Linked DNA regions of Rattus norvegicus. The protein of the gene in region 1 interacts with the protein of each later gene in a pairwise test. Links are inferred from orthologs where the notes say so. Each region holds a gene or a part of one and is shown on either strand. Other genes may lie near its edges. The genes, in order: Enkd1 and Pnma2.

Evidence for each region.
Region 2: the proteins of Enkd1 (region 1) and Pnma2 interact in binary tests that used the Homo sapiens proteins (3 or more experiments, as listed by UniProt). The two-hybrid records come from large-scale screens. The link is inferred for Rattus norvegicus from reciprocal best matches to the Homo sapiens genes ENKD1 and PNMA2.

The regions. Positions count from the first base shown.
Region 1 is NC_086037.1:50,500,312-50,514,838, reverse strand, and holds Enkd1 (enkurin domain-containing protein 1), read left to right. Parts: upstream 1-8,422; 5' UTR 8,423-8,712; coding exon 8,713-8,797; intron 8,798-8,877; coding exon 8,878-9,072; intron 9,073-9,948; coding exon 9,949-10,121; intron 10,122-11,794; coding exon 11,795-11,920; intron 11,921-12,021; coding exon 12,022-12,185; coding exon of another isoform or gene 12,186-12,186; exon of another isoform or gene 12,187-12,189; intron 12,190-12,283; coding exon 12,284-12,420; exon of another isoform or gene 12,421-12,426; intron 12,427-12,511; coding exon 12,512-12,672; 3' UTR 12,673-12,876; downstream 12,877-14,527. Other genes in the region: Gfod2 (glucose-fructose oxidoreductase domain-containing protein 2), read left to right, coding at 1-129; C19h16orf86 (uncharacterized protein C16orf86 homolog), read right to left, coding at 6,565-7,001, 7,075-7,319, 7,653-7,870, 8,109-8,192; Pard6a (partitioning defective 6 homolog alpha), read right to left, coding at 13,166-13,920, 14,131-14,353. UniProt on the Homo sapiens protein: Microtubule-binding protein which regulates microtubule organization and stability. Promotes the stability of astral microtubules and facilitates the proper orientation of the mitotic spindle.
Region 2 is NC_086033.1:45,277,924-45,294,543, forward strand, and holds the start of Pnma2 (paraneoplastic antigen Ma2), read left to right. Parts: upstream 1-9,556; 5' UTR 9,557-9,643; intron 9,644-10,945; exon of another isoform or gene 10,946-11,057; intron 11,058-13,698; 5' UTR 13,699-13,827; intron 13,828-14,105; 5' UTR 14,106-14,448; coding exon 14,449-15,543; 3' UTR 15,544-16,620. Other genes in the region: Dpysl2 (dihydropyrimidinase-related protein 2), read right to left, coding at 8,801-9,142.

The DNA.
Region 1 (14,527 bases):
ATGCAGAGCGTGGTAGATGCCATTAAAAGGTCCAGCCGATCTGGGGAGTGGGAAACTGTGGAGCTGCTGACAGAGGAGCCAGATGCCAACCAGAATCTAAGTGAAACACTTCAGCGGAACAACCTGTGAGCCTGCACATGCACTTCCGCCTGTCCGCGGGGCGGAGGGCCCAGGGACGGCACTGGGAGCTGTGATTGGCTATAGCAGAGACACAGCGTCTTGTTTAATAAATTAGCTTGGGCCAGGGTTAGGAGCCAACTGAAGGTGGCCAAGGGAAAAAACCTATCCATCCGTCCATCATTGACTCCTCAGACTTGCAAGGCAGCAAATGCTCCTGCTGTCGTAGCTTAGGCTAGCTGTGGGCCCACAGGGTAGGGCTGTAACCTGGCCCCTTGTGGCTCTGCCAGTGAGTAGGACCAGTGGGCTGTGGGCTCTTCAGGCTGAAGTGTGGTCTGATAGGACAAGAAGACCCAGTAAGGAGCTAGCTTGGTTGAGTCCTAAGGGGAGAAGGCAAGGAACCTTGTCTGTCTCCGACCAGGGTATCTCAGGACTGGAGAGGGTGGCAGGGTAGTCCTTAGGGATCTTCCCCCACCCTCCATGTGATCAGACCTTTTCAGCCCCCTTGTAAGCCCTTCCAAGAGAAAAAGGAGATTTCTGTGTTATACATAACTCTAGGGAGGAGGGCCTGTGACTTGGCAGAGAGGAGACAAAGGGGGAACTGTAGAACATCTGAGAAATGTCAGTAAATAAGGCAGAAAAGAAAAGTGACATCATGGTGTGTGGTCGTTTGTTTCGGATTGGGTTTCTTTAATAATGGAAGGCTTGTTTATGGCTGTAGGTCAGTTGTTTTCTCCTTTCTTCATGGGCTACCCATCAGCGAATGACTTAGCTCATGGCTGAACCCCCCAAAGCTCCCCAAATGTCTGCAGCAGAGAGGATATGAGGCTCCCTGTTAGGCTGTTGCCAAACCTGCCGTTCCAAGAAGACAGGCGCCTGGGACCCCTAGCCTGGATGTCATGAGAGGTTCTTTTATTTTTTTAAGATGTATCATTTATTTATGTGTACGTATGTGTGTCTGTGTTTGTGTGCACATGAGTTCAGGTGCCCGAAGAGGCCAGAAGATGGCATCAGATTTCCTGGAGCAAGAAGTGAGGTACCTCATGTGGATTTCTGGGAACTGAACCTTTAACTGCTGAGCCATCTCCAGTCCCAGGGTTCTGTTCTGGAAGCTATAGTGTAGCTGGCTCCAGGAGAGCCCTCAGGGGAGGAGCTTAAGGAGGAAGGGGCCTGTGCCATTCCTTTGGAACAGGTTTAACTGGCACTACTTGAGTCAGCCAGCAAGTCACCAGCTGTGCTTATTAACTGGCTATCGTAGATAGGGACAGGGACGGGTCAGCTGGGTGGGGGCTTGAAGGAGGACGAATCTGCCCGCTTTGTTTCCCTTGTCAGTCTTCTGGATTGTGAAGTCTCAATGAAGTCTGTTCTTTCTTCAGTTTTCCTCCTCCTTATCTGGGCTCCTTGCCAAAAAGGCCTGGGGAGGCCCTTCCTCTTCCTCTTCCTCTTCCTCTTGGCCCCACTTGTAGAAATCATCGGACCTATTTCCCTGCACTGTCTGATTTCAAATGTTGTCTTTGTGAGGTAAAGTTGGAGGGCTGTTGCTGTGCTGGTCCTCCAGAGTAAACCAAGTTCAAGGCCTGCCTGATTTATATAGAGTATCCAACTCAGCCAAGAACATGTCTCAAAACAAAACAAAAAATATCCATGCCCATTATCTCTGACCAGGAGGAGCAGAGAAGCAAAGTTGCTAGGTCAAGACTTTAGCTCCTCACCTCATACTGCTCTTATTCCAACACTGGGCAAACTTCTCTCAGACACTTAGGTATTGACCTGCAGCAGGATTTAGCCTAGCCTTATCTACGAAGGCTCTGCACAGTGCCCACCCTCAGGAAGCTAACAAGACTGCCCGTTTCTAGTACGCTCATCTCAGCTGTCCTTGTCTGTTTAACTAATATGCCAAGATTCCACCTAAGTTGAGAATGGCCAGGAAGACCAAAGATGTACCTGTGAAAAAGTGGTTTGCTGACCCAGAAGTGGTGCATAGGTTTTATAGAAAGTTTATGCTCGGAGAACTACTCCCAGTGTTGGAGCAGGTGGTAAGTGGACATTGGGCGGGACTACTTTTATGAAGACACAGTGACTTTGAGGGCACTTCTCAGAGTCTAGATCCACACCCCTGACATCTTTCCATCTCTCTGGAACAAGAACTTGCAGTCCCCGAGGATGAGGTGAGCTGAGCCTTTATGGCTCCAAAGCTTGTGGCTGAGAGCCCAGGGGTGAGCCAGCCAAACTAGTTCTAGACTTATCCTGCAGCGCCCCCTCCTGGAAGAATGCAGCAGTTCCCAGGACTATACTTTTAGGTAGAAGTTTCTTGAGTTAGCTGCCTTTGATATACCCTAGTCAGATGAGAACTTTCAAGTTTTCAACCTCAAAGCAAATCAAGGCTTTTTACTTACCCAGTCATGATATCCATTTCCTACCTCCCTCGACAACTCCGTCTTCCTTGTTCTTTGCTTCATAAGCAACCTCTCAACAATGTCAAGCTATGAGAGAAGCAGACCCCCAAGATACCATCTGTACTCGGAGGGACGGAGAACTCGGCTGTATTGTATCAATCATCCCCGGATCTGTTGTCTCAAGCACTCTCTATTATTGATTGGATATACAGTATCACCTTTGGTCATTTTCCTGATTGGTGGCTTTATGTTTTATATATTACAGGTTTCTAGCAAAAAAATATTTTTACCCATTTTTTAAAAACAAGCATATGTATAGAAGCAGATGTGTAGCAGGACATGGGAGGGCAACTAAGATGTGGTTCTCAGAATAGACAACATTTTATCTTCAGCATAGGCTACAGTAGGCCTGACTCCATTCTCTCACTTAAGTCTCTTACCTTCTTTAGGCTACAATAGTTTATCATCGTTAGGACCCCCGCTTGTTCACAACCCTTCACACTTGTGAAGCCTGAGTCCCTCCTAGCCATGTCCTCTACTTCTACTACACTGAGAAGCCCTCCTGTGGGCATCTTCCACACCCGGACAGCATTGTCCCTGGGTCACCTCAGGCCAGAAAGGCTCTTAAGGAATAAAACTATTGGCATCGCTTCTCCCCAGGGTAAATGGCACTCATCCTACCATCGGTGCCCCTCCATGAGCATAGCAACACTTGTCCCGACGGCCCTGTTGGAATGATGCTAGGAAAGTGGACCTCGCCCATCATGCACCCTGCTAAGACATGCCTGCAGGACTGTGCCTCAAGAATTGTTCTTTAAGCAGAAACATGAACCATCTTCATAGCACTAGGTCCCTGCCACTCCAGCCCTGGAGAATAGAAGGAAGAAATGTTGGTATGCTTGAGTCATGCCACAACAGACAATCTTTTGGTTCACAGATGGTGTAGAACTCTGTGTAGGACAGGACCCGAGTTTAACATAAAGTCATATCTCTGCAGGCATCTTCTACTTCAGTCATAAAATAAGGAAGTCAAACTCAGTCATCTAGCTCTGAAACATCCCAAATCATGAGTGGTCATCTCAGTAGGCAAGACTGTGTCTGCATAGCCCCTGTGGGCAGCGTCACCTGATGTCATCATTGCAGGAGGCAGATGGAGACACATGTCCCAACATTATGGCTTCTCAGTGACCTTGCTGTGGGCCAGAAAGCATTAGAAAAGCTGGCGATGTGGGGAGCAGCCTGAAATGAAGCTAGGAAAGTGGACCATGTGAATTCTGTTGTCACCTGCATCCGCCCAGCTCATCTCCATCAGTGATCGTGCTGGGCTAGTATTCTAGAGGCCTGGCATGAGTTGGTGGGCTCTCCATGTCTTTAGCTGCTTTGTACCGGCCACCTCTGTATCTTCCTCTACTTTGGCCTCCATGCCTCGAGGCCTTTGATGGGAGCCTCCCACTAGGTAGGGGGACCCAATGATGTGTGATCTAGGGGTACACAGTCTAATGAAGATATAGAACTCACAGTGACAGTGGGAATAAAAAAAATGCTACAGATTCAGGGCAATGCAGTGCTTCCTGACTTAGCAGAAAGAGGGTGTGTGTGTGTGTGTGTGTGTGTGTGTATGTGTGTGTGTGTGTGTGTGTGTGTGTGTGTGTGTGTGTGTGTGTGTATCAAGGTCATGCACCAGGTAGAAGGATGAAGGAAAAAAAGGCATAGTAGACCAGGAAAATGAAAGCAAAAAAAGACCAGGTTGATCAAGGAATTCCACGGAGCCATTAAATAGTTTCAAAGCAGCTTTGAAGAAGAGCAAGATGCTAGAGGGACAGAGACATCAAGAGTACAGGTACTCTGTGTGACAGCAACATCAAGAGTGCAGGGACTCTGTGACAGTGACATCATCAAGCACTCTATATACAGCAGGATTTTGGTATGAATCTGTGAGATCAGAGATCAGAGGGAGGGGAACTTGAGAATCTTACCCAGAGATGTCTGAGGTCCAGGCCCTGGTGCTGACCCTCTCAACAGAGAAGATGGATTCTCTTGTAGGGAACAGGGTCAGTGGTGACAGCAGAATTTTAGCTTGGGACAGGAAGAAATGCATTTAATGCGGAAAACTCTGTCAAAGGTTTTGGAGGACCAGTAGTTTTGTCTCCACAAATCGCTCACTCAGCTCTTTCCAGAGAGCTGTCTTTGAGACCAGAGGCAGCAGTCCTGCAGTGAAGGCCTTACAGCTCCAAAAAATACATTCATTTACCACCACGCATCACCAGGGACCATCTGAGGGCAAAGTATAGGCTGGCTTCTATGACAATGGGTAGAGAACAGTTTTAAAAATACTTTATGTACTTGAGTGTTTTGCCTGCATGTTTGTGCACTACAGTATGTACCTGGTACAGGAAGAGGCTGAAAGTGGGGGTTAGATATCACCCAAGACAGGAATCAAGAATGAGGTATTGGAAAAAAAAAAAAACAAAAAATAAAAAAAGAATGAGGCATTGGGAATTGAACCTGGATCCTTTGAAGGAACAGCTAATGTTCTTGGTTTGTTTGTATGGTTTGGTTTGGTTTGGTTTGGTTTGGTTTGGTTTGGTTTGGTTTGTTGAGAGGGTGTGGGGAGGGAGGATTTCTCTGTGTAGTCTTGTCTGTCTTGGAACTTACTCTGTAGACCAGGCTGGCCACTAACTCACAGAGCCCCAACTGCTTCTGTCACCTGAGTGCTGGGTTTAAAGAAGTGTGCCACCACTGCCCAGCTTAGCAAGTAGTCTTTTTTTTTTTTTTTTTTTTTTTTTTTTTTTTTTTTTTTTTTGGTTCTTTTTTTCGGAGCTGGGGACCGAACCCAGGGCCTTGCGCCTCCTAGGTAAGCTTAGCAAGTAGTCTTAACTAGAGCCATCTCTCTATTCCCCCTCCTTTTTCTTCCAGCTTTTCAAGAAAGGGCTTTTCTGTGTAGTCCTGGCTGCTGGGACCAGGCAGATTAGCCTCAAACCTAGAGAGTCACCCGTTTCTGCCTCTGAATCCTAGGATTAAAGGTGTGCATCACCAAGCCTGGCTCCTTTTCCTGGTTTTTTAAAGACAAATCCTCATAGAGTACACCCTGGCCTTAAATTTACTATGCAAACGAGGCTGGCCTTTAACTCATTGTACACCTGTTTCTACCTCCCAACGGAAAGGGCAAAGTAAGGCCTAAGCCTAGCTCATCTGCTACAGATATGCAACACCACACCTGGTTAGTAACAAACCTTCAGACAGAAGTAAGCTGAGCTGAGCTGCACTGAAGATTGTCAGATCCAGGCCAGAGGCCTGGACAAAGCAGAATCCAGACAAACTGCCTGGAAGGGGTTGAGACCAACTGAGATACCTGGAAAGGACTCTCCAACCTGGTGCGCTACCTTCGGACTATGCAATGTGCTCCAGGTTTCCATATTTGTCAGCTGTCACTCGTGCTATGTCGAGCTTTGGTGATACAACCATCTTGGCATTGTTTCTGCTCCCTTAAGTAATCCCATTAAAAACCATTGGTTTTGGGCTGGAGAGATGGCTCAGCAGTTAAGAGCACTGGCTGCTCTTCCAGAGGTCCTGAGTTCAGTTCCCAGCAACCACGTGGTGGCTCACAACCATCTACAATGGGATCCAATGCCCTCTTCTGGAGTGTCTGAAGACAGCTGCAGTGTGCTCATATACACAAATAAATCTTTAAAAAAGGAAACATTGTTCCCTGTAGTTGGACTTTGGTGGTGTATGTTCTTTGATCTGCTGTGGGCTCCCAGTCTAGAGTGAATAGACATACACTCTGACACAAGTCTGGGTAGTGCTCAGGAATCTGTCGTTCAAGGTCCCCACTGTTCCAAATAATCAGTCATCCTCCCTTCTCCCCAACCTCTTTCCTGATTCAGGCATCATATTTGAAGAATCAGTCTCAAAGGGGGTAAATGTTTATTTTCAGTGAGCGTAAATTCTCAAGTATAGACAAAAGACTAAATCCCTTCTTCCATCTGATGGCTTAGGCCTACGGGCTTAAAGCCATAGTTTAGGCCTAGACCCGGACATTCTCAATGGGTCACTTGTACTGAGGGGACAGCGGGGGCACAAGAGGGGCAGCACAGACACTCAACATCTTGTCAATATCCACTTGGGTTGTCTTATCCACCTCAGCCTTGAGGCTGCCACTCACCCTTAGACTAGACAAACCCCCAGGCTCCTCTCCAACCTCCTCTACCAGAGGAGGAAGATTATGGGTCAGTGGTGCTAATGGATTAGGGCAGGGCAAAGCAAGGCCTAAGCCCAGCTCACCTGCCATGGGCAGCAAGGTCTGCAGCTGCAGCTGCTCCACACCTGCCTCCTCAGGAGCCAGGGCTAACTCCGACTCAGGCTCAGCCTCCGGTTCCCTGTCCCCATCCCCTGCCTGATTCAGCTCTGGGTTGCAATAGTTGATGTACTGGTACAGTGGCCGCAGGCGCTGGGCTTTTCCTGCAAGAACCCAAGGCACAGCAAAGGCTGGAGCACCAGGCTGTGCCACGTCAGACTCAAAGACAAAGGGAAAAACAAAAGCCCAGGGATTGCCACTCACGCTCCAGCCCCAAGGTCTCTGTGGGTGCAGATGCGCTGGCCACAGCTGGGGGCACAGGAGCCCCTACACTCTTGCGTTTCTTGGCTTTTTTGTGCTGTTTAGATGACAGCGAGGATTCACTGTGGCTGCCTTCTGGCTCCTCCTTCTGTAGCAGCAGCCCTGGTGGCAGTTCGGCCTCTGCCCTAGGATGGGCATGGTAGCTTTGCCCTGGGAGGGCTGGGGTACTCAAGCCTGGGACAAGAGGCCTGAAAGAGGTAGGCTTCAGTCTTTGGTTCCTGTGTCTTGAACCTAGGGCTTACCCCTGCCTGTCCACCAAGCCACACTAGAGCTAGTTAACTGTCCATTTCTTAGTGAAGTTCCAAACCCAACAGGGGCCCAGCGTTCAATGGTAGCTAAGTCTCCTACAAGACTAAGAAGCCCCAAATCCACACCCCCGCCCCAACTGTTCTAGAGAAACAGGAGCTGGAGGTGAGGGCATTAGAAGAAAACAAGGTTCTTTGCCTTGAAGGAATTGGGATTTAGGAATCTCCAGGTCTAAGACCCACCTCCCCAGCCTTTCCCCTTGAAAGCCCTCTCACTTTCTCTTGGGCCCATGAGCTGGCCTCACGATGGATGATGTAGGCTTGGGTCCTCTCTCCTCTCCTGCTTCCACCCCTGGATTGAGCCCTTCCTCTCCCAGGTTTATTCCTTCCTCCTGGAGCTCTGGCTCTAAGCTGTGTCCTACTGGACACCTGTCTTCACCTGGAGTGCTGCAGGTCTCGTGTGCTGGCACCAGACACTCTTCTGTTCCTGGACACTAGAAGACATACATAGGTAACTGATAGCCCATGGTCAGGCAAAGCCCAAAGCTGCTGCAACTGGGGCATCTCTCTTGGTTTGGGGGCCTCTCCTAACTACATATTGGCCACAGAATAGGAAATCTTAGGTCCCTCTACCTGCAGGACTTGGCCTGGCAGTTAGAAGGTTGGGTCACCTAGAGTCCTGCTCTTCTGCCCTACCCCTCCTCCTCCTGAGCTTTGAAATGCCCAAGTCACCTCAGGGATCTCTGCAACCTGGGCTAACCCTACTGCTGCCCCATTCTGGGCTTCTGGCTGCCTCTTGGCCCCTGCTGAGGCCATGGCAGGAATCAATGCATCCCTCGACGGTTGCTCAGAGAAGACCGCAGGCCCAGAGCAGGGCTGGACCGGTGCTCAGTGTTGGTAGGGGAGACAGGTTGAGAGGTAAGGATCCTGTTGCGACCCGAGACTTAGACTCGCTCCTCATCTGGAACTACAAACCCCAGAAGGCATTTCGCCTTAGTCATTTGACCCCTGACCTCAGGAAGCCATTTGTTGCCAAGCAACAGCAACTCCTACCGACTTGCTACAGTTGGCGGTAAAACTGCTGCAGTGAGAGTCCACGCTGGGGCTTTGCAGGGGGAGGGGCCGCGAACCCCTCAGGGCCGTGTGCTAGTCGCGGGGCGGTGGTACGGGCTGAGCTTAGGAAACGAGCGGTAGTCGAGGGGTGGGGGTCAGTGATGGGGGGTACCACGGGGCTACAGAGCTCGGGTGGAGGGTGGAAACACCCGACAGGGATTAGAGGGGACATTTGCACAGCGCAACAGGTCCTGATGCACAGTTGCAGGGCTACGGTAGGATCATGTGCGAGGGCCCGTCCCGCATCTCTGGACCCATCCCCCCAGACCCTACTCTCTGCCCGGACTACTACCGGCGGCCGGCCTCGGGTGAGTTGCGGGGTGCCGCGGCGGGGCGAGTACCCCGCCCCACCTCTGAGCACGGCTTTCCACCGCGTCTTGCTCTTCAGCCCAAGGACGCCTGGAAGGAAACGCGTTGAAGCTGGACCTGCTGACTTCAGGTCGCGACCTGGACTCCAGCCCTCCTCGTGGCCCTCGCATCAGGCCTGGAGCCCGAGAGATCCTAGAGCGTGGCCAGCGAGGTGTGGGGGACGTGCTGCTGCAACTGGGGGGCATCTCCCTTGGTTCAGGGGTCTCTCCTAAGAGTAAGTCCTTGCAGACGGGGTATTGAGGCATTCATAGGTCAAAAGCAGAGATTAAAATAGGGTGCTTCTTAACCGCCTTGAACCCATTCAGTTAATGTGTTTTTCTGGGTCTTAATTTCTCTAGCCTAAAAGAAGGGCAAAATACTTCTTGCAGGATCAGAGTTCATCCTTCTGCAGAGAGCTCCAGCTTCAAGCTTTCACACCTTGATAGAACAGTTCCCTTAATGCCTACTTTGTGCCAAGCCCTATGGTTGTTAGGAAAACAAGGTTAAAAAGTATGGGAGTTGTCCCAGGGTAGGGTAACACCCAAGGGGGGCTTCCCCTTCACTGAAGAGAAGGGAAGGGGGTAATAGGGAGCCGGATATGACAGGGGCAGGACTGGGGTGGGGGTTACAATTGGGATATAATGTGAATTAAAAAATAAGGGGCTGGGGATTTAGCTCAGTGGTAGAGCGCTTACCTAGGAAGCACAAGGCCCTGGGTTCGGTCCCCAGCTCCGAAAAAAAAAAGAACCAAAAAAAAAAAATAATAAATAAATAAATAAATAAATAAATTTTGGGGAAAGAAGTAAGGGAGTCAATAAACAAGACAGGACATATGTATAATATACTCGGTGATATCATAAAATGTAGAAGGTAATCACAATTTCTGTGTAAGGGAATAAGCTGCTAATGTTGCTGTGTGTATGGCATTCAACTTCCATGTAGAGGTCTTGGTTGTATTTAAGAACTTTGTGTGTGATATTGGAGATTGAACCCAGGGCTTCTCATATACTGGACATCTCCCAGGGGTAGGGTGTGAATCTGTATGAGATCTAGTCTGAGTTGCACAGCCATTCGTAGGGCTGTTCCTAGCAACATTCCTCCCCTCCTCCAGGGAAGGATCCAAAAGACCATGAGAAGGAAAACTTGAGGCGGATCAAAGAGATTCAGAGGCGATTCCAAGACCAGGAACGCAGCCGGGAGCAGGCCCAGCCCAAGCCCCTGAAGGCACTGTGGCGCTCACCCAAGTATGACAGTGTAGAGTCTCGAGTCAAGGCCAGGATGAAGGTATCTGTCTCAGGCAGGCGGACATATCCATCTTGGCCAAGGCAGTTATATCTAATCTAACTTACGGGGTGTGTGTGCGTGCGTGTGTGTGTGTGTGTGTGGTGTGTTCACAAAGACTAAGACATCTGGTGGACCTTCTCTGAGGAACTGATGGCATCAGGGCAAGTGAGGATTAGGCTAGAGGAAGAAAAGGTTCCCCAGAGATGAAACCCCACAGGTAGGTAAAAGTTCTGGGCTCAGGGAGTAGGGGCAATGGGCATATAGATATAATTCTATTTGTAGGGGGAAAGCAGAAGGTTAGAACAGAAAGCCAGTTAAATACATATCTGAAAGAACTACCTAAGTTACTTATCAACATGTGATATTGGAGATTGGATCCTGGGGCACACGCACACTGGGTACTCATAAAATTATATCCTCAACCTTCCTACTAATTCATTCTCAGTTTCTCTGTCTCTATCTCTATGTTTCACGTAGCCCAGGCTGACCTCAAGTTCTTTGACTTTCTGATGCTCCTTTGTTCACCTACCAAGTGCTGGGATCAAAAGTGTGCGCTACCACGCTGCTTTCTCTCTTCTTTTTCTTTTAGTTAATTACTTTTTTGAGATTAAAAAAGACCAAAATTATGTGTCTGGGTGCCTGCATGTATGTCTGTGCACCACAGAGACCAGAAGAGGGTGTGGATCTCCCGGAACTGGAGTTACAGAGAGCTGTGAATTGCCACATGATACTGGGAATGGAAGCCACATTCCCGGGTAGAACATCCAGTGTCCTTAACTGTTGGGTGCTATCATACCCCACCACCACCACCACTTCCACTGCTACTTTGTTTCTAGACAGGGTCTCACTGTGTAGCCTAGTCTAACTTCAAACTCCTGTAGCCCAGGCTGGCCTTGAACTGGCATAATTCTCCTTCCTGTCTTAGCCTCCCAGATGTGGACAAAATGGGTTTGGACCACCACTCCCAGATGATTTCTCTCTGAGTTGGTAGCTTGCTGTTTAGCCTTAGGCTGTCCTTGAATTCTCTCTGTAACCTAGCCTGGCCCCAAACAGTTACTTCTGCGTCAGCCTCCTGAGTCCTGGGACTGTAGGCATGTACCACTATTTCTTGCAACATTTTTTTTCCCCTGAGGACAGAGGCAGTGGTTAGGTTTTGGAGGTAGTTACTATTTCTCTATCCAGGGACCCTGAAAGAGACTCAGGATTGAGAGAAAAGACAAGGTCACCTGAGATTGTATTTAGGCTGAAGCATCTGTGGCACTGCCAGGGGGTGGGACTGTGTCCAGGAAGCAGATGGATACAAAGCTCTGGGTCTCATTGGTGAAACCAGAAGGTTATTGACAATTAAATTGAGGACAATGGGGCTAAGAGAGCAGCATCCTTTGGTCTTGAGGGCTTGGAGGTAGCCCTCAGTAATGTGGGGTACTAGAGCTAGAGGGAGGAAAGGATGCTAGTTAAATGGGGCCAAAGGGAGATAGCAAAGTAGTCATTTTTTAAGACTGTGAGAAATAAGCATATTTAAATGTTGTTGAGAAGTTCCTTCAAGGAGGAGGCCCACAGAGATGAGCATAGAAAAGTTCTCAGAGGAAGGAGGGACAGAAAGGGGAATGGTCTTGTGGTTTAGGACCCTGACTTCAGACTCCCTGATTCTTCTGCCGTACCCTACCTTCCAGGAGCTTGGCCCTGCCTCTGTGACAGAACCTGCCCAATTTCTGCGGGCACACTCCCGCTGTGGCCCTGGGCTCCCACCATCCCGTGCCTCCAGTCCTCAGCTCACCCTGCCAGGTTCCAAAGCTAAGGTGAGAGGGTCTATGAGGATTTAAAGGCCATCTTCCAGGAGTCCTGGGGGCAGGGTAGGTACAGAGATACAGTCTCCACCATGCTTGCCATGTCTCTGCAGGGACCAGGCTTAGGTGTGGACTTCATTAGTCACAATGCCCGAGCTGCCAAGAGAGCCCCCCGGCGCCATTCCCGCTCCCTGCAGGTCCTTGCACAGGTTCTGGAACAGCAGCGGCAAGCCCAGGAGCACTACAATGCCACCCAGAAAGGCCATGTTCCCCATTAGTAAGTAGGTCTTGTGGGCTGAGTGCAGTGAGGGAATCCTGTGGAGGGCGAGAACCATTCTGCCTTGGTGTCATCAACCTGGGCCTGTGCATTCACAGCTTGTTGGAACGCAGGGACCTGTGGCGGAAGGAAGCTGAAGCTCGAAAGCGTAGCCAGCCAGACCCTTCCATGCCTCCTGGCCACACGCTCATGCCTGAGAATCAGCGGCTAGAGACACTGAACAATCTGCTTCAGAGTGAGTACATGGGCAAGGGTGGCTGAAAGGGAGCTCCTGGGAGAACCATGCATGCCTACCCAACACTCACACTTCCCATGCCCCCTTGTAGGCCAGAGCAAGCTGCTTCGTGAGCTAGTGCTGTTACCTGCTGGGGCAGACTCTCTGAGAGCTCAGGGTTACCGTGCAGAACTGGACCGGAAGTTGGTGCAAATAGAAGAGGCTATCAAGATCTTTTCCCGACCCAAAGTCTTTGTGAAGATGGATACCTAGCCCCTCCCCCCCTTTGTGGGTAGATTAATAGGGAGATCCATGTTTAGGATCAGCTCATGGCTGCAAAGGGCAGACTCAAGCCCTGTTATAGCTCCAAAGCATTGGGGTGGGCAGAATCGAAAGCACTTCGTAGTTACCAGTGGCTGCAGAAGAGCCACCAGCCTCCCAACTTCTCTGTCAAAATTAAACCGTTTGTACACAGTGGCTGTGTTCCATAGGAGCTGTCTTAAAAATGCCAAGCCCAGTGGGCCTCCTGCTGCATCATCAAAGGAAGGTCTCTCCCATGCTCTTATTATCCTTCCTGTCTTGTGCCCACAGAAGAAGGCTGACTTACAGGGTCAGAAGAGGTTGGGGCTGGAACACAAAAGGACCATGTCTACATTTGTAGAAAACCTTTAATGTTCACCAGGTTGAGCGGGCTCTGTGAGCAAGCTAATCTCCCTCCCCAACTGGAAAGTCCGGGCAGCAGTGACAAAGGCTGCACCTTTGCCTGTCAAAGGCTGAATCCACTAACATCACCTCGCATGCCATTCCCCCAGCCAGAATTGGCTTGCTCTCTGCTATCCAAGGAGGGCAGAGAGCTGCCAGCACTAGGAAGTAGGCAGCCAGGTTGCAGGTCCCAGCACAGGGGTCCCTGAGACAGCCCATTAGAACAGGGAGGGTGGCGATTTTCAATGACCGGGTCACTGTTGTCATCGTCACTGTCAGGATCAGTAGGCCCAGGCCCTACAGAAGAAGGCCCTGTCAGACGCCCAGATGCCCCTCGTACCACATTATTACGCTGGTTGGCAGGCTTGACAGTGACAATGAGGTTATGGCTGTTGGCAACCATCATGTCCGTCACTTGGTCCAAGGTCTTCCCGGCCACCTCAATGCCGTTGACCTCGAGGATCTCATCACTGACCGCCAGCAGCCCTGTGCTCTCAGCCAGGCCCCCACGGACCAGGCGGGAGATGAAGATCCCAGGTACCCGCTCCAGACCCTGAGGAGCCACACGAACACTCATGCCATCTCGAATGTAGAAGCCCAGGGGACGGTCTGAGCCATGTTTGTGCAGTCTCACACGTCGATGGGTCTCAGGTAGTAGGTCCACGTCTATAACTGAAGACACCTGGCGGAAATCTTGGGGCAAGCTGATTAACAAGGGTGGCCTGGTGCGCAGAGGTGCCACTGGTCGTAGCAGGAGCCCTTTCTTGCGCCTCTGTAGAGAGTTGGAGGCAAAAGCCAGGCCACTCGAGTCACCTTCTGCTGCAGGAGAGGGGGGTACTAAGATTAGAGACTCTTCTCCCATTTGGGCCCATGCTATGGACAATGCCACTATTTTCCTGCTCCTTGGAGGTCAGACCAAGGGCAGAGGCTGCAGAATGTAAAGTCTGAGAGCCCTGGGTATGGTCTACCCTAATATACCTGCCCTGTCACCCTACCCCAAGGAAGCTGCCCACTGTACCCCATCCTCACCCCGTTTCTGGACCAACAGGCGCAGAGGTGGGGGCCCGCTGGCCAAGGCCCGGTGCAAACTGTCATCATTGGTGAGGGGCAGCAAGTCACCGTGAGCATCCGTATAGCCAAGCAGCACATCCAGGCCAGGGATCTGGTGTACCACACACAGCAACCGCGAGAACTCCTGAAAGCCTCTCACTGAAGTGCGGGGTAATGCAAAGCGTCGGAACTCGGCGTCAAACTGGAGGCGGGAGGGAAAGGGGAGAGGAGTGTCAGGACAGAGCCCAAGCCCCTTTCTCACTACAGGACTGAGGCTGTCAGGTGAGGGAAAGAACTGCTGCAACAGCTGCAGCCTTAAGCTTAAACCTCAGCTCCAGTACAAGGGACACTGTCCAAGGTCTTCTCTTGCTCTCCA
Region 2 (16,620 bases), on another chromosome or scaffold:
ACAAGACAAGGAGTCAAACTTAAAAGCAGGCAATGGAACACCCAGCAAACACAACAGTATGTTATTGGGAGTGGGAATAAAACCACCAAGAGATTCCACAGAAAGAGAGAAATGACCAGTGTTGGAGAGACTACACAGGCATGGAAACTCTCACACTTGGGTAGACCTAAAATGTAAAGGAGTGTGGATGTTCCTAAAATAGCTAACCCAGAATTACCACAGAGCCCTGGAGCTCCACTCCTAGGTAGAACTCCAAAAACTGGAGAATGGGTTCTACTTTGAGAAGAATGCGACTCACCAATTCATTCAAAATTGCCAAAACAAACAAACAAACAAACAAACACCCAGCAGAAATGTCCCCAATGCCCATTAAGGAACAAATGGGAAAGCATGCAAAATGAGGCCTATTATTCAGCCAGTAAAAGGCATAAAGCCCCCTGCACACTACAACATGAACCTTAACAATGCTGAACTCACTAAGAGAAGGAAGAAACAAACGGCCACACACGGTTTGACTCTGTGAACACAGAAGCGTGCAGAATAGGCAAATCCACGGAGACATAAAAGCAGATCCATGGTTGGCAGAGGGTCTAATGGAAGTGTCCACTTACTGGGCACAGGGTTTAGTTTGAGGGTGATGAAAGCATTTGGAATTGGGCCGTTTGGGTGGCATCCACTGAAGAGTAAAAATGCAACTTGCATGCTATAAAAAGCAGCTAGGAATGGCATGGCTGTTAGTGGGGATGGATAAGAAGCCTTAGAGACAGAGGCCCACTCAGTGGCAACACGAGGTCATGACCGTGGGTCACACAGCTCTGAGGTTGCAGAGGGCCCTTCATGCAGCCTTCTCACTAGTAGGCAGGTCTCTCTGGGAACCCAAACCCACATGTGTCGTGTGTATTTGTTCAAAAGCAAACCTAGAAGCATCTTCAAGGCATGCTTCTCCTCTACACCAGGCTTGACTGTTCAAGGCCACGCTTTCTCCCCTCAAGGCTACCCAGGCCCTTCAGTGTCAGGTTCTCTCCCTCAACTGCAAGGCTCTGACCTTTTCACTGAACCACCTGGGTGTGGCTTTCGGCCTATGCCAACATACTTCTCATTGGTTAAAAAAACTCAAATGTCAACAATTCCCTTGCCGCTCACTTATCAGTCATGACTGCTAAGGATTACATGTTTGAGTCCCTCAACAATCCACGTGTTAAACCCTAATCTGCAAGACTGCTTCACAAGATGAGACTTCTGGAAGACATTAGATCATAAAGGTGGAACTGCCCAGTGAGATGAATGTTCTTATAACAGACAGAGAACCTGCTCCACCGCGTGAGGAATATGGAGCACTTCTCCCCTGGTAGGGCATCTGCAAGCATCTTAATCTTGGACTTCAAGAGCTTAATCTTGTTCAAGCTGTGAGAATAAATGCCTGGTGTTCGAGAAGCCTAGTCTGTAGTAATCTGTTACAGCGGTCCCAGCTGCCCTTAGACTATGATTGACAACAACTAGAAAGGGCAGACTGTCATCCAGTGTCTAATCTTAGAAAGGGGTTGTCATTCATGCTGTTCAGTCCTGGCTTGTGTCCCAGGGGTAGTTGAAGATATTTCTGGTGTTTAAAATAAATGGACAGAATATCATCCATTATAGGCACATTCATAAAGACAAATCAATAATCCATTTGATAAATGACATTGGAGAGTGACTAGTAAAAGAAATGTTGTCACTCAGACTATTTTTGCAGTAACTATTATTTTTTAGATGGGTAAGAAATGAAGAACAAAAACAGTAGCTCAGAGCCGGGCATGACGGTATACACCTTTACCCCCAGCACTTAGGATGCAGGGACAGGAGGATCACCAGGAGTTCAAGGGTAGTCTAGTCTACACAGTAAATTCCAGGCCAGCTAGGGCTACACAGTGAGAGACTGTCTCAAAGAGCTGGGGACAGAAGCAGCTCAATGCATCTTAGTGATTAGGAAGTTCTCAGTTGCCTAGTCCCGGGTTCAAATGCCACCCTTTGTACTCCATTGGGAGTTGCTTTGAATTTCAGATATCTCCATTAGAAACTAAAGGCCACAATAGCACAGGCTTCATAAAACCAGTGTAGGATTAACAAAACAGAAAGCACCAAGCATTGCCCCTGGACCTGCACCATAAAGCTTTGGTGCTCAATGGGATGTAAGGACTCTGCCAAGAGAACTGTCTCACACCTTGAAGTTCATGACACCACTGTCCACAGAACTGAGCTGCAGAACGCATCGGAAGACTCACAGGGTGGTTAGGACAGCTCCATTCTAAGCCCTGTCCATGCACTTCCCAGATTAACAAGGCCTTCATGGTCAGGTAAATAGACAGCAGTGAATCTCCCCTTCCTGATTTTCAACATGGTGACAACACATCTATCAAAGGCAAGATTTTGAAGTCATGTGGATGCAACAAGCTGCCACGGAGACTCAACAGTGGAAGGTCACAGTCGAGAGTCAAGGCATGATTCATAAGTAATGGGTGGGGTTGGAGAGAGGTTGTTTGTTTTCTTTAAGAACTTGTCCATTTCTCTTTTCGGAGCATATTCCTAGTTTTGAAATATATTAATGTCATAAGCCAAAGAACTAGGGTTTGTTTAAGATAAGATCATTTAAAAACCTTTAAATCGTATTTATTTATTTAATGTTGAGCAAGTGTGTAAGCCATAGTAACATGGGACTCAGGTGACAACGTGGAGGAGTTTGGATTTCCCTCCCATGTGTGTGGTTCTAGGGCTTGAACTCAGAAAAGTGCATTTACCCGTGAAACACCTCACCGGCTTGAAAAATCCCAGGTTACATTCATACTTACTATGTGGTCAAGGCTGGCCTTGAACTCCTCATTCTCCTGCTTCCACTTCCCAAGTTCTGGGACTGCAGGCATGTGCCAGAACATCTGGCTAGCCACAAGGCTAGGGCTAGAGTGTGACCAAGAGTAGAGGCCTCTACCCTAGTCACAGGACTGCCAACTGAGGTTCAGGGGTGAAGCCCTTTCTTCCTGCTTAAATGATGAAGTCTCATTTGAGCTCTGGCCTTCAAGGTAAAGACAGCACCTATAGTGCTCAGACAATGGTCAATTCTGACTTTCCCTCTTTTCTCAAGGAATTAGAAAGATATTGTTGCGTCAAAGGACACGTGAAAACTGTTGTCTTGGTTACAATGGTGGCTCAGCCCAGCCTTAATTCCTTAGCATGGAATCTGTACACTGCTCAATTTTCAAACGGTTGGGGCAGGTCTTGCTGGTGGTGGGCCAATGGTAATAGCCTTCCTCCTGAGCTACACTGGAGAGATAGCTGTGGTTGCTTCACCAGCAGGCTGTTCTTCAACTTTGGCCTCAAGTTCAAGGCTGGCGAATCCTACTTCTTCCTCTTACAATTAATTAGTTAATTGCACATCTACTAACTGAACAAGCTTTTTATTAATGATGTGTTGTAATTTTAAAAATTATAAAATTACTGTTAAGCATTAAAAAAGAAAAAGACTGGGAGATGGTTCAGTTGGTTAAGTGCTGACCTTGCAAGCTGACCCTCAGAAGTCATGTCAAAAGTTGGAAGTAGTGACAGCACTGGGGAGGCTGAGGCAGGAGGACCACTAAGAGTTTCAAGTTACTGACCTGGATCTAGGCTCCCAGCCAAACTTCCACCACACATCCATTCTCACACAAGAATCTCAAGGGACAACTTGGGTATTAGCCAAGTACACGGAGGTGCAGGTTGAACCACCAGGATTCCTCTGTAGCCAACATTTGGGGATGTTGAATGGAAGAAGCAAGAACAAACGGGAAGAGAAGGAATTTAAAACACAGTGCCCTTGAGAGGAAAAAGGAGTAGAGAGAATGGGGTAGGGAGGCTGTCATGGGTCAATGGGGACCTAAAGCTGAGGGATAGTCAACTTGGGGAGAAGAGATGTGGACCTAGAATGGAAGGGAATATTAAAAGGCATTGTATAGGTGTGGTCATTGTCTCAATCCAATTTATGCTACTGTAAAGAATACATACATTGGGGCTGGGGATTTAGCTCAGTGGTAGAGCGCTTACCTAGGAAGCGCAAGGCCCTGGGTTCGGTCCCCAGCTCCGAAAAAAAGAACCAAAAAAAAAAAAAAAGAATACATACATTGGATAACTTATAACAAGGACATTTTCCTTGTCCTTTATTTTATTCTATTATATATTTACTTGTATGCATATGTGCAGATATGCATGCATAATTATGTATGTGGTGCTGTACATGTATGTACATGTGTGCGAAAGCCAGAGGTTGACCCTAGGTATTCTTCCTGGGGACATCCATCTTGTCTTTTGAGACAAAGTCTCTTCCTGGGCCGCAGGGATTACTCCTTTGACTAGGGTGCTGCCCATGAGACACATCTTCCCAGCGGTGTCTCCCCAGCTCTGAGATTGCAAGCACACACCACCATAAACCACTACTTTTTTTTTTTTTGAGACACCATCTCACTATGTAGCTAAGGCTGTTCTGGAACATATTAAAGACCAGGCTGGTCTTGAACTCACAGAGCTGATCTGCCTGCCTCTGCCTCCCAAGTGTTAGGATTAAAGGTATACACCATGATGCTCACCCACACTCATGTTTTTCTGTTGGCACTGAGGATCAGCTCAGGTCCTCATGCTTGTGCAGCAAGCACTTTATTGACTAAACCATTCCATTTTCCCAGTCCTGATTGAGAATTACATTTGGTGCTTGAATCCAGAGGCTGAGAAGTCTAAGATTACACCATAAGCCTTCATCATTGCCATATGACATGGTAGAAAGCATCATATGGGCAAAGAGGAAATGCTACACAACTCAAGAGTCTCAGGTCCTTGTGTCATCAATGTTGACAATGTAAGGGTAGGGTGCGCTCATTGGCCTTGCTTCCTAAGACAGCACTACAGTGGGATTTAAGTTTCCTGTAAATATCTTATGGAACACTTTTGAGCCACATCATGATGCTGCCAAGCTCAGCAGAGCTCTGCAGAGCCCACTCACTGGTTCCTGTCCTAGACCAGGGGACAGTTACTTCCCCAGCTTGGTAGCAGTCTGCACAGGTTGCTCATGGTTAAATGGGGTGAAAGATCCTTGAAAAAGGCTCAGGATACAGTATCCTAGGATGAGAGGATTATTCTGACCTAATGGAATAATGGAAAACAGGGATTCCAGGAGAAAGGGTGGATGGAGCTCAAAGATCCATGTTCACTGACAAGTGCAGTGGTTAAGCACTAAATGTCCTCCAAAGGTATGTGTGTGAAGTCTGGATCCCTGGGGAGGTGCTACAGATCTTTAAGAAGTAGGATTTCATAGGAAGTCCCAATGTCATTGTGGGTATGGGGGATTATTCATTCTCTCTCTCTCTCTCTCTCTCTCTCTCTCTCTCTCTCTCTCTCTCTCTCTCTCTTTCTCCCCCTCGTTCCCATGTCTGCCCCCATTGCCAAACCCATAAGGCAACTGATCTTGGACCTGAACTTCTGGAACCATGAGATTGAACAAATCTATCTTTATTTATTTCATAAGTACCCCAGTTCAGTTTTTCTGTTACAGTGGTGTGAGGCTTACAAACACTCTAAAACAGCTGTCCTTTTGTTCTTTATCCTAAAAGGCTCAGGTCCTTCCCAGCTAGGAATCAATATAATTTCATTGCATCCCAAACTGGCCCCTGGGAAACACATGGGAAAAAGAAGCAACAAGACAGAAGAAGCTTTCCTTAGTCTCAACCCCTCCATTGGCTCTGTCAGGGCAAACCACTCCTAGTGCTTTCTGGTTATGGGCTGCTCACACTGCACATGGTGCTTCATCATCCTTGGGAATATATCCACCAGCCCCTTTCATCTCCCAGAAGTGATGTAGTGATGTGGCTGAGGACCCTGTTCTGGCCCTTTCTAAGCCTTTCTAGAACAGTGGGATTCATGGTGGGGTGTGGAAAATGAGCAAATTGCTGCTTCTTTTTTTTTTTTTTTTTTGAGACAATATTTTGCCATGCAGCTCTGGCTGACCTATAGCTCACTGTGTAGTTCAAGCTGCTCTTGAACTCATCAAGGTCCACCTGCATCTGCCTCCACCTGCATCTCCACCTGCACCTCCACCTGCATCTGCCTCCACGGTGTGGATGAAAGGTGTGTGCCAGTAAACTCAGCAACTCTGACCGCCCTTAAGATTCCTTACAAGCACAGGTTCAAGATAGAAGGGAACATAACCCACTCCATCTACTCTTCTCTGTGCCAGGGCTTCTAGAAGAATGCTCCAAAAGCTTGAAGACACCTTGTCATGTGCTAAATACAAGCAATAATCACTAATTCTGTCAAAAGAGTGAACCAGCTGAGCTCTCAGAAGTCACCATCATTATACATATATGCACAGCCTCTTGTGAAACATGAAAAATTCATATACTGTAAGCACCAAGCTGGGTAAATGTCCCTGGTTATGAATGACAAAACCCCGCAGGAATGCTCCTTTTGTGATAAATGAACCAGAGAGGGTTGTAGAAAGGCAGCCGAGCCAGAAGCAATGTCTAGAACTAATGACCAGGAAGCTGAGAAGAGATGGCTTTCCAGGGTTAAAACTACCTAAGGATCTGGTCTGGTGCTTTTGTCTGCAAATTGCCCCCTCCCTTCCAAGTGCCTCAGCTTTGCAATTTAGAGTTTCTGTAAATTTAGGGTGTGTTCCAACAATTGCTCCTGATTCTCCAGCCTTTCAGGCTAGAATATTAACATGCTGCCTTTGTGGCACTGAGGTCACCTCATTTGCCACCTTTGCATGTTCTCTTACAGATTCTCCAGGTGTGGTCCTGCTCCTTCCAGGCTGTTGGGATGACCCTCACACCTTGCCTACTTGAGAGTGCTCACTCAAACTCAGTGTTATGTGATGTTGGTTGTCACCAACATACTCCCATACGGACTCATTTTATACTTACCCAGCTTTTAGTACAACATTGAAATATATGGTTAAGGTTGTAGCTCAGCGATACAACACTTGTTTAGCAAGCACAGCCATTGAGTTCAGGCCTCAGCACCACAAAAGAAAGAAAAGGAAAGATAGGTAGGTAGGTAGGTAGGTAGGTAGATAGATAGATAGATAGATAGACAGACAGACAGAGAGACAAACAGAGCAAACTGGTAATCATGGTGGCTCAAATCTATAATGCCACCGCCCAAGAGATACTGGGATTGTCATGAATTCAAGTCCAGCCTGGACTACAGAGTGAGACTCCATCTTAAAAAAAAAAAGAAAAGAAAAGAAAAGAAAGAAAGAAAAGGAAAAAAGAAAAAAAAGAAACATTTACTTCAATTGACCACCTGAAAAAAAAAGCAAGCCTTTTGGATTTAGATTCCAGTTGCCTCTTAGTGAAATATAAATATAAAAATTAGAAGATGAATGGGTGTAAAATAAATGATTACTTGCTTCATCTTTCAAAAATAAAAGGAAATAGTCTCTCCACCCCTGCCACCTCCTTTGGTGAGAAGTGATCCTAGGAGAGTCAAAAGCTGGAACACTCTGCTGTGTCAGGAAAGAGGGAGGTTTCCCCAATCATTGCCCCCAGAGCTGTTCCCGGAGGCTTTCTCTGTAGCATACAACCTGAATGCTGGGCAAGCCCCCAGTGAGCATGTGCAGACCATCCCCAACTTCTCCAGTGGCTGTCTGAAAGGAAGCGCCTTTAGGACTAACCTTCCTCCTGCCCTAGAAGGGAGGGCACACAGGATTCAATATAAAGTCATTCATAGACTGGTTTCTTATCTTCACCACGAGCATGGGACTGAAGCAGCAACGTGTAAGACATATGCACTGTAAACGATCAGTTGAGGCATTAAAGCTGTGAAAAAAATGTTATACTAGCATAAACGTCACCCTGAAACTGAAGGAAATGTGTGTGAAAAGACCCCTGGACTTGAAACGTGCACTGCTGGGAATTACTGGAGCATGTCAAACATTTCCCATGACGAAGGATAACCAAGCTAGCCTTCTTTGTCTCGCCATTAACACAATCGGGGAGTCTTGTCTTCAAATGTGAGTCCTCCCCTCCCCACCCTCATTTTTCCTTTCCTTTTTGGCTCTTTGAATATAATCCGTGCGGTCTCTCCCCATTCCCAAAGTGCCTCCCAAGCAGCGCTGGGGAAGCGCTCTGGGAAGCCCTTGCCGAGACACTTAGCAGAACTTTGTTCTCCACATGGACTATTTAGCTTTCCTCGGTGACATCACAGCCTCCCAGGCTCTTCACTGGCTGCAGAATACAGTCCAGGCAATGGTTAGAGGCTCCGGGCGCTGGCCGTGGTCCTGACCTCCGAGCTCAGAACCATGGTGCTGAGTGCACTCAAGGCGGAGACCTTGCCACACAGAGTAGCCATGTAAGCCCCAGTCCCTACAGACCCCAAGGGAGCCCTCTAGCCTTCACTGCAGCCTTGCACTGCTCTCTTTGAGCTGCATCAAAAAAGGGTGGGGCACTGAGACGCAGCTGCAATCGGATGCCGCCCGGGAGGATTTAAGAACAGCACAGTGGTCCACCCCAATCGCCACTCGACGCCTCCAGCCCGGGGATCAGCTGGTCCCTGACGCGGGTCTCCCACCTCCCAGGCACAAGAAGATGAGGGCAGCCTTTGTGGGCGCTCAGACGCCCACTGGCGAACCCGTGCCTCGCCGCACCCTGCGCGGTGAAGGGGTGGGCAGGGCGCGGTGCGCGTGCAGATGCGGGAGGCAGAGCTCTTGGCGCCGCGTGCTGGCTGCCACGCGGGGATGCTCGGTCCTCCGCGACAAGCCAGGGTGCAGCCCCGCACTCTGTTCCCACCCACCCCCCATACCAACCTGATCGTAGATGTTCTGCAGAGCTTCCTTGCCCGAGGCCCGCCGGATCTCCACCTTCCGGCCCGATTCAACAGATGGCTCCCCGCTGGCACGCCGGCTCTGCCGGTGCGGGTCCGGGCCCAAGTGGGCGACATCCCGCTGCTGAGCCACCACCTGCCCCGAGCCCCGGCCCACTGAAAGCGAGTCGAAATCGATGGTCTTGTTCTCCGAGGATCCTTCCACGGGGCAGAACATGCCGCAGAATTTCTGCCGCGGCTTCGGACTGCCCGAACCCAGGTTTTTAAAAAAGGCAGGGACCTCTTCGTCCTCTGCTGCCTTCCCAGATTGCTTTCTCTCGGCCATGGCTGGGGGTGCGCTAGGGAAGGTTCTGTCTGTCTGTCCGTCCGTCCGTGGTTCCCTAAATCTCCCTGGTTGGGTGTGCACTAGCCTCTTGCTGCTGCCGCGGCTGCTACTCCCTGCCTACCGCAAGGTGCACAGAAAGGATGGAGGGCTGGCGAACCGGCGACCCACCCCTCGCAGTCCCTCCTCCTGACCCGGCTTTCTCCCTCCCTGCCCACGCCCCCCGGCGCCGCCACGCCACCTCCGAGCAAAGTTGGATCTGAGCTGGGCGGTCGCTGCGGCAGAGGATGCCAGTTCCCGGCAGCGCGGGGAGGGGCGGGGCGGGCGGAACGCGCGATCAGAAGGGAGGGGACAAGAAGGGAGGGGACCCAGAAGGAGGAGACGGAGAAGGGAGGGTACGAAGGGGTGGGGGGCGCCCTAAGCCCGCGCTCCGGAAGTGAAGCGGCCACTCCACCCGCTAATGGACGCACAGCAGCCGCCGGAGAAACCGCTCTCGGCGCCAGGGTGAGTGTCCGAGAGATACAGCTGGGCAAAGACCGGAAAGAGCAGATCCTGGCCCAGAGTCCCACTCCCCAACCTGCCTCACTGCATTGCTAAGGTGGCCCTGGAGCTCACCTAGCCTCGGTGAGGGCTGAGGGTTGGGGGAGCCAAGGGCCAAGCCGGCAGGCTCTGGGAAGCTGGGGAGGGGTGACCCTGGAAACAGCAAGGGCATCCAAGTATTCTGGCACCAATGCTTAAGTTTACCTACGATCTAGGGGCCGAGGCGTGCACTGCAAGAAGCAAAAGGAAAGGAGAATGTTCTTCCCGCTTGCAGACGCTGTGGTTGGGAGGTGGGGCTCACAACATGGCGGGGGCAAAAAAGCAGAGGGACGTAGCAAATGGAAGCGATGACCGGGGGTGGGGGGTGGGGGTGGGGGGAGCAGCAACCCTGTAGTGCTAGAGGGAATAGTAAAGAATGCAGGCTGTGGATTGAGCCTCAGCATAGAGACTGGGAACCCTCAACATTATCTGAAAGGGCCATGTCCTGCAGGTAGCCCATTGACTCAGGAAGGGTTCAACGAGTCCGGGATTTGATATCTCCCACCCCCCCACCCCCCACACACACCCTGGTTACCCTCACTCCCACCCAAAATGGTTGGGGTCTAAGCAGACCGAAGCACACTCGGACTCATCTTGCTTTTCAAGTCGCCTGTCTGGCTCCCCTAGCCCCTGTTGCACGCTGCGCCAGAGGCCCCGCGAGTTTGCCCGATGATCCTTCTCTAGGGGCCGCAGTGGTCTGTATGGAGGGTAGAGGTAGACCGCTGTTTTGGGGAAGGTTACATGTTGTGAATTGTGGGGCAGCCAAAGTGTGGGGATTCGGAGTGTGTGTGCATGCACACGGTTCAGCCACAGCCGCCAGGTTCGAGGCTTAGTCCCATCTCCTGGAGTGCTTTAAAGCCCCTCCCGTTTTTCCCGAGTGGCTGAAACCTGAAGAAGTGTTGCCCATCCTTTAGGGGTTCTGGATGGAGATCTGAGCATGCTCACGAAGATGGATGGGTTTGGTCTAGGAGAGGCAGTTTACTGCAGCATGTTCTCACAGGGCGTTGTGACCAAGAAATCAGACCCATTGTCAGCCTTAGCTTAGGGAACGATTGCATGCGGATACCAACGCCCCCTGTTGCTGGAGATAGCTTGATGGATGGAGTCTCTCTCTCTTCTCTCTCTCTTCTCTCTCTCTCTCTCTCTCACACACACACACACACACACACACACACACACACACACACACACACACACACCACACACACGCCCCACACCATCCTGTAGGAGCTGAAAGGACTCCATGGGAGGAGAGCCGATGGACCTTAGCACCAGATGTGCTTGACATTTTAATAGAAATTTTCCACTGGAATTGTCAATGCTGCACTAAAGTCCTGAGGTGAGGTCTTTCAACCTCTCTGCCTTCCAAGTTAGAACACCAGTGTAGGAGGCCTTATGCCTATGGTCATGTGTCTAATTGAACTACCCGGTAATTCTGCCCCCCCCCCCAGCCTGGTTCCTTCAACAGGTTATCCTGTAGGCCCCTTTAGTGAGAAAAATACAAAATCCTTGCATTCTTCCTCCATACCCGAATATTTCCTTAGTGGCTCTTTGTACATTAAGGGTGTTTCACTTATGGTTTTAAAATTATTTTTGATTAACTTTCATTTTATGTATGTATGTATCTTGCTGGAATATATGCACATGCACCGTGTACATGCCCGGGGCTGTTGAAGGCCAGACGAAAGTGCCAGATGCCCTGGGATTGAAGTCACAGAGTAAGCCAACATGTGGGTGCTAGGAACCAAACCTGTGCTTTTAACCACTGAGCAGTCTCTCCAGACACGTGGGGCCTTTAAGACTAGTGGATTTTCACGTGACAATTTTTTTCTGGATCTGGGCATCCAGTGCCATTGGTTGGCTGTGTTTTTCTTTCTTGTTTGTTCGTTTTCTGTTTTGTTTCAGTTTTTCAAGATAGGATTTCTCTGTGTAAAAACCCTGGCTGTCCTGGAACTTACCCTGTAGACCAGGCTAGCCTGGAACTCACTCACGGAGTTCTACCTGCCTCTGCCTTCCAAATGCTAGGATTAAAGGCACATGACACCATTGCCTGGTATGTCTCTTTTGTTTTTGCTCTTTCTGAGAAAAGGTCCTTTATGTAACCCCAGGCTGGCCTCAAACTCCCTATGTAGCCTAGTGAGTTAAACTTCTGATCCACCTACCTTCACTACCTAAGTGCTGGGGTAATGGGCATACGCCACGATGTCTGGTTTGCACAGTGCTGGGGATCCGACTCAAGGCTTTGTGCATAGTGACAAGCACTCGACCAACTGAGCTACAGTCTTACCCCTGCAGTGCTCATTTCATCTCTCATTCCTCCAAGTGACTCCAAGCGAATGAATATGGGGAGGAAGTTCATTCCCATATTTTACAAGGAGATCTCAGGCCTGGGTTGGTCTGAAGTTCTGGGCCCCCATTCTGTCAGACACAGGGTGAGGTAGCACCTTGCTCTCCCGGTTTTGGCACAGAGGCCCAGTCTTCAGCACCTTCCAGGAAGAGTGGATCTGCTCCTACTGCTGCCATAGTTAAGGCCAGCATCTATGGCATATGGCCTCCTTCAGAGTCATGGGAAATGTCCAGGCCAAAGGGGGATGGTTGTAGCACCCTAACATACCCTCTACAAGTGTCTGAGAGGCACGGCCAAGCTCCAAATTACAACATATCAGGTAGCATACCACATGGGCCCCATAAGAACGCACAGTCTAGTGTTGGCACTCTGTGACTTTTAGCCAATTAGGAAGCTGCTTCTCTGAAGGCATCCTCGTGGCTAAGGGGTCACACTGTCACTGGGAGCATCCCCTTTTACACTTCTAGTTCTCCCCAGCCCTTCAAAGCAAGCATGGGGCACACATCACTTAGTGGTGAATATGTTTTCTGCCTTTTGTCTTTTTCTCAATGGCCCAGTCAAATTTAAATGACAATGTTAAATTTAAACATCTTAGTTACCTTTCTATTTCTTTGCTAAAGCACCATGACCAAGGCAACTTATAGAAGAAAGCGTTTAATGGGGGCTTCCAGTCTCGGAGGGGAAATTCATATCCATGCTGGCCAGGAGTATGGCAGACAGGGAGGTACAGTGCTGGAGCAGTAGCTGAGAGCTTATATCTGATCCACAAGCATGGGACAGAGATTGACCATGGGAATGGTATGGACTTTTGAAATCTTAAAGCCCACTGTCAGTGATGCACCGCCTCCGAAATCCTTCTCAAACAGTTCCACAAGCTAAGGACCAAGCATTTGAATACATGAGCTCATGGGGCCCATTCTCATTCAAAGCACCACAGGGGGAGTTGGATGGGTGACTTTCCATGTGTGGCCCTTGAAAAAGTCTGGCTAGACACAAAACCTGAAGAGGACTGACTTGTAACTCCAAAGTGTACTTCTTTTTCTGAGATTTGAATTTTCTCTGCTATACCCATGTTTAGTTAGTCTTAAGTGTTTGAATGGATTCTGTTTAGTTTTGTTTGTGTCTTCTTTTGAGACATGATGTCTCTATGTAGCCCAGATTCACTTCAAACTTGCAATCCTCCTGCCTCAACTTCACAAATGCTGGGAGTGCCACCAAACACAATTCGGTTGGATTTGTTTTTAAAGATGGTTCTCATGTAGCCCACACTGGCTCACACTCCCTGTGGCTAAGAATGATCTGAAACTCCTGATCCTCCTGTCTCCAGCTTTCCAGTGTGGGGATTACAGGGATGTATTACCAATGATTGCTCAATTTGTATGGTGCTGAAATTGGACTCTAGGCTGCCTAAAGGCTTCTTCCAGGCAAGCACTCTGCTAACTGAGGAGCATCCCCTGAACAACTCTTTCTTCAAAGAAGTGTAGTGACACTGTCCTGTTTAGGTTGCTCCTTTAAATTCAGAGGACGGTCATTTCTTTCATCCTTTACTGAACTGTTACGTCTTTAATAAGGGCATTAATCTTTGTTACTAGATTTTAGGCCTAAAAACATGTTATTCATGTTTGTATAACAGGACAGCTTGACTTGGCTGAAGGTAAGACACATGTATACTACTGTATAGAGGTGTGTGACATCTTCCTGATCTGGAAGCTGAGTACGTGGCTCCTTGACTCTTGAAGAACATTCTGGAACACATAAACAGGTATTTTACTACATCTGCTAATTCATCCTTTTGATGAAGGGTGAAGGTCTTGAATCCTGCTCACTGACGGGGTTTTCAGGGTGGAAAGACTGGATTTTATCTGGTCCACACAGGGAAAAAGTACAGTCGGCAAAAAAGGGGATTCACCAGAGTGGGGTAGGCACAAGCACAGTGGGAGTTAGAGCCCTTGGTCCACTCCTAGTTTCACCCCACACTAGAGTGTGGGTGTACCCTGGGACATAGAGGGCTATGTATAAAGTGAGTCTCTGTTTCCCTAGGAGTCCTTGCTTCCTGCTGTGTGAGTCCCCAGCGTCGGGTGCTAGAGTGGACACCACCTACCCACTGATTAGAGAGAGAGGTGAGGTGACAGAAACCAGGAGACTGTTGTTCCAGGTGCCTCACAGTGACCAGAGTCAACACCACACAGCTACAACAAACCCTCGGAAACAGCAGCAAACGTACTGCAGAGCAACAGCCCACCTTACCTACCATCAGCCTTGCTGTGGGTCTGAAGACAGACAGGGAGCGTCTGGTTCTTGCTACTGGGTGAAGAGACAAGGCATTTGGTCCACAAGACTTTGAGCGGCTTGGAGACCAAGTGCAAAAGCACACCCTGGGACAATGGCAGTGGCCCTGCTGGAGGAGTGGTGCAAGATCATGGGTGTGGATGTCCAGAAGTCCCTGCTGGTGATTGGCATTCCTGTGAACTGTGGTGAGCTTGAGGTCCAGACAGTCCTACAGGAGGCGCTGAAGTGTGTGGGCAGCTACCGGCTACTGGGCAAAATACTCCAGAAGCAAGACAATACCAGTGCTGTCTTACTAGAACTTATGGAGGACACGGATATGTCTGTGGTTCCCAGTGAGGTGCAGGGAAAGGGAGGTGTCTGGAAAGTGATCTTCAAGACCCCTAATCAGGACACTGAGTTTCTCCAAAGACTGAACCTCTTTCTAGAAAAAGAAGGGCAGACGGTCGCAGGGATGTTCCGAGCCCTGAAGCATGAGGGAGTGTCTCCAGCCACCACACCCTGCACATCCCCCGAGTTATTGGCCCACTTGGTAGGGCAGGCAATGGTTCACGCCCAGAGGCCTCTGTTGCCTGTGAGGTACTGTAAGCTGAGAGTATTCTCTGGGAGCACAGTAGCTGCCCCAGAGGAGGAGCCCTTTGAGGTTTGGTTGGAACAGGCCACTGAGATAGCCAAAGAGTGGCCCATCCCTGAGACAGAAAAGAAAAGGTGGGTGACAGAGAGCCTCCGTGGCCCTGCCCTGGACCTCATGCACATAGTACAAGCAGACAACCCTTCTATCAGTGCAGAAGAATGTCTGGAGGCCTTTAAGCAGGTGTTTGGGAGCATGGAGAGCCGTAGAACCTCACAGGTCAAATACCTAAAAACCTATCAGCAAGAAGGAGAGAAAATCTCAGCCTATGTGCTCCGGCTGGAGACTCTGCTCCGGAGAGCTGTGGAAAAAAGGGCCATCCCCCGGAACATTGCTGACCAGGTACGTCTGGAGCAGGTCATGGCTGGAGCCAACCTTAGCAACGTTCTTTGGTGCAGGCTACGGGAGCTGAAGGATCAGGGCCCACTGCCCACGTTTTTGCAGCTGATGAAGGTGGTCCGTGAGGAGGAAGAAGAAGAGGCCTACTTTGAACACGAGAGCAGAGAGGAGCCAGGGGAAAGGGAGGGCTCTGGCCGCTGGGACAATTCAAGGAACAACTGACAGACATCCCTACTCCATTTCTGATCTGGTAATGCTTGACAAGGCTAATCCCATTCTAGTGCACTTTGCTTTAAAGTGCAGGACTGAAGTCAAGCATTAGGAATGAAGGTTTTGGGGTTTTTTGTTTTTCCTTTTTCTTTGGTTTTGATAGGTTCTCACCTTATAGCCCAGGCTGGCCTTGAACTGGTATTCTTCCTGCCTCAGCCTTCCAAGTTTGGAGTTCTGGGATTAGAGGAATATACTACCACTAGAGCTCCATCTTGTTTTTCTTTCTGAGGTAAAAAAAAAAAAAAAAACCTGGAGTTTGAGGGACTCTAACTAGATTGTTAAAAAAAAAAAAAAATACAAGACTAAGTTCCAATACCTAAAACTCCTGAATCTTAGTTTCCTACACAAGGGTTGGCCAGACAGCTTGGTTGGTCAAGTTGCTTGTCAGTCTCTTCAGACGGAGTGATAATGTGAACAGGAGATAGAAACTGGCCAGGCAGGGGCTGAAGAGCTACTCGTCAGCAACTAAACACACTTGCTACTCTTTTGAAGGGATCCCAGTACCCATGCGGTGGTTCCCAACTATCAATAACTCTTGTTTCAGGGGATTCAACCTCTTCTTCTGGTCTCTTTAAGCACTGCACACATGTGGCACATACACATACATGCAGACCAGACACATAAAATAAAAACAAAACCTTAGGAAGGAAAGAAACAGGCCGGGCAGTTTCTAGGCATTCCCAATGTATCCCTGGTTCTCTGGTCCTGTCCCCTTCCTAAGGGTTACACTTGAGGGTGGGACCTTTAGCCAGACACTAATCCATTTGTGGATAGCTGTAGAATTAGGTCCATAGATTTTTTCATGATAAAATGGCTTATATCTGTTCCCCAATTTTAGCCCATCTCCTAAATGATTTTAGGGTTACCTCATCAGAGGGGAGAATTTACAGTAGCCTTAGTCAGGGCTCTTCTGAATCTCATTCAGAGAAAACCGTTGCCTTCTGGTCAGAAGAATGGTCTAAGCAGAGACATACCATTGCAGGCTAACCACAGCATGAGTTAATCCAGTTGGACAGGTTCATCGCCTGG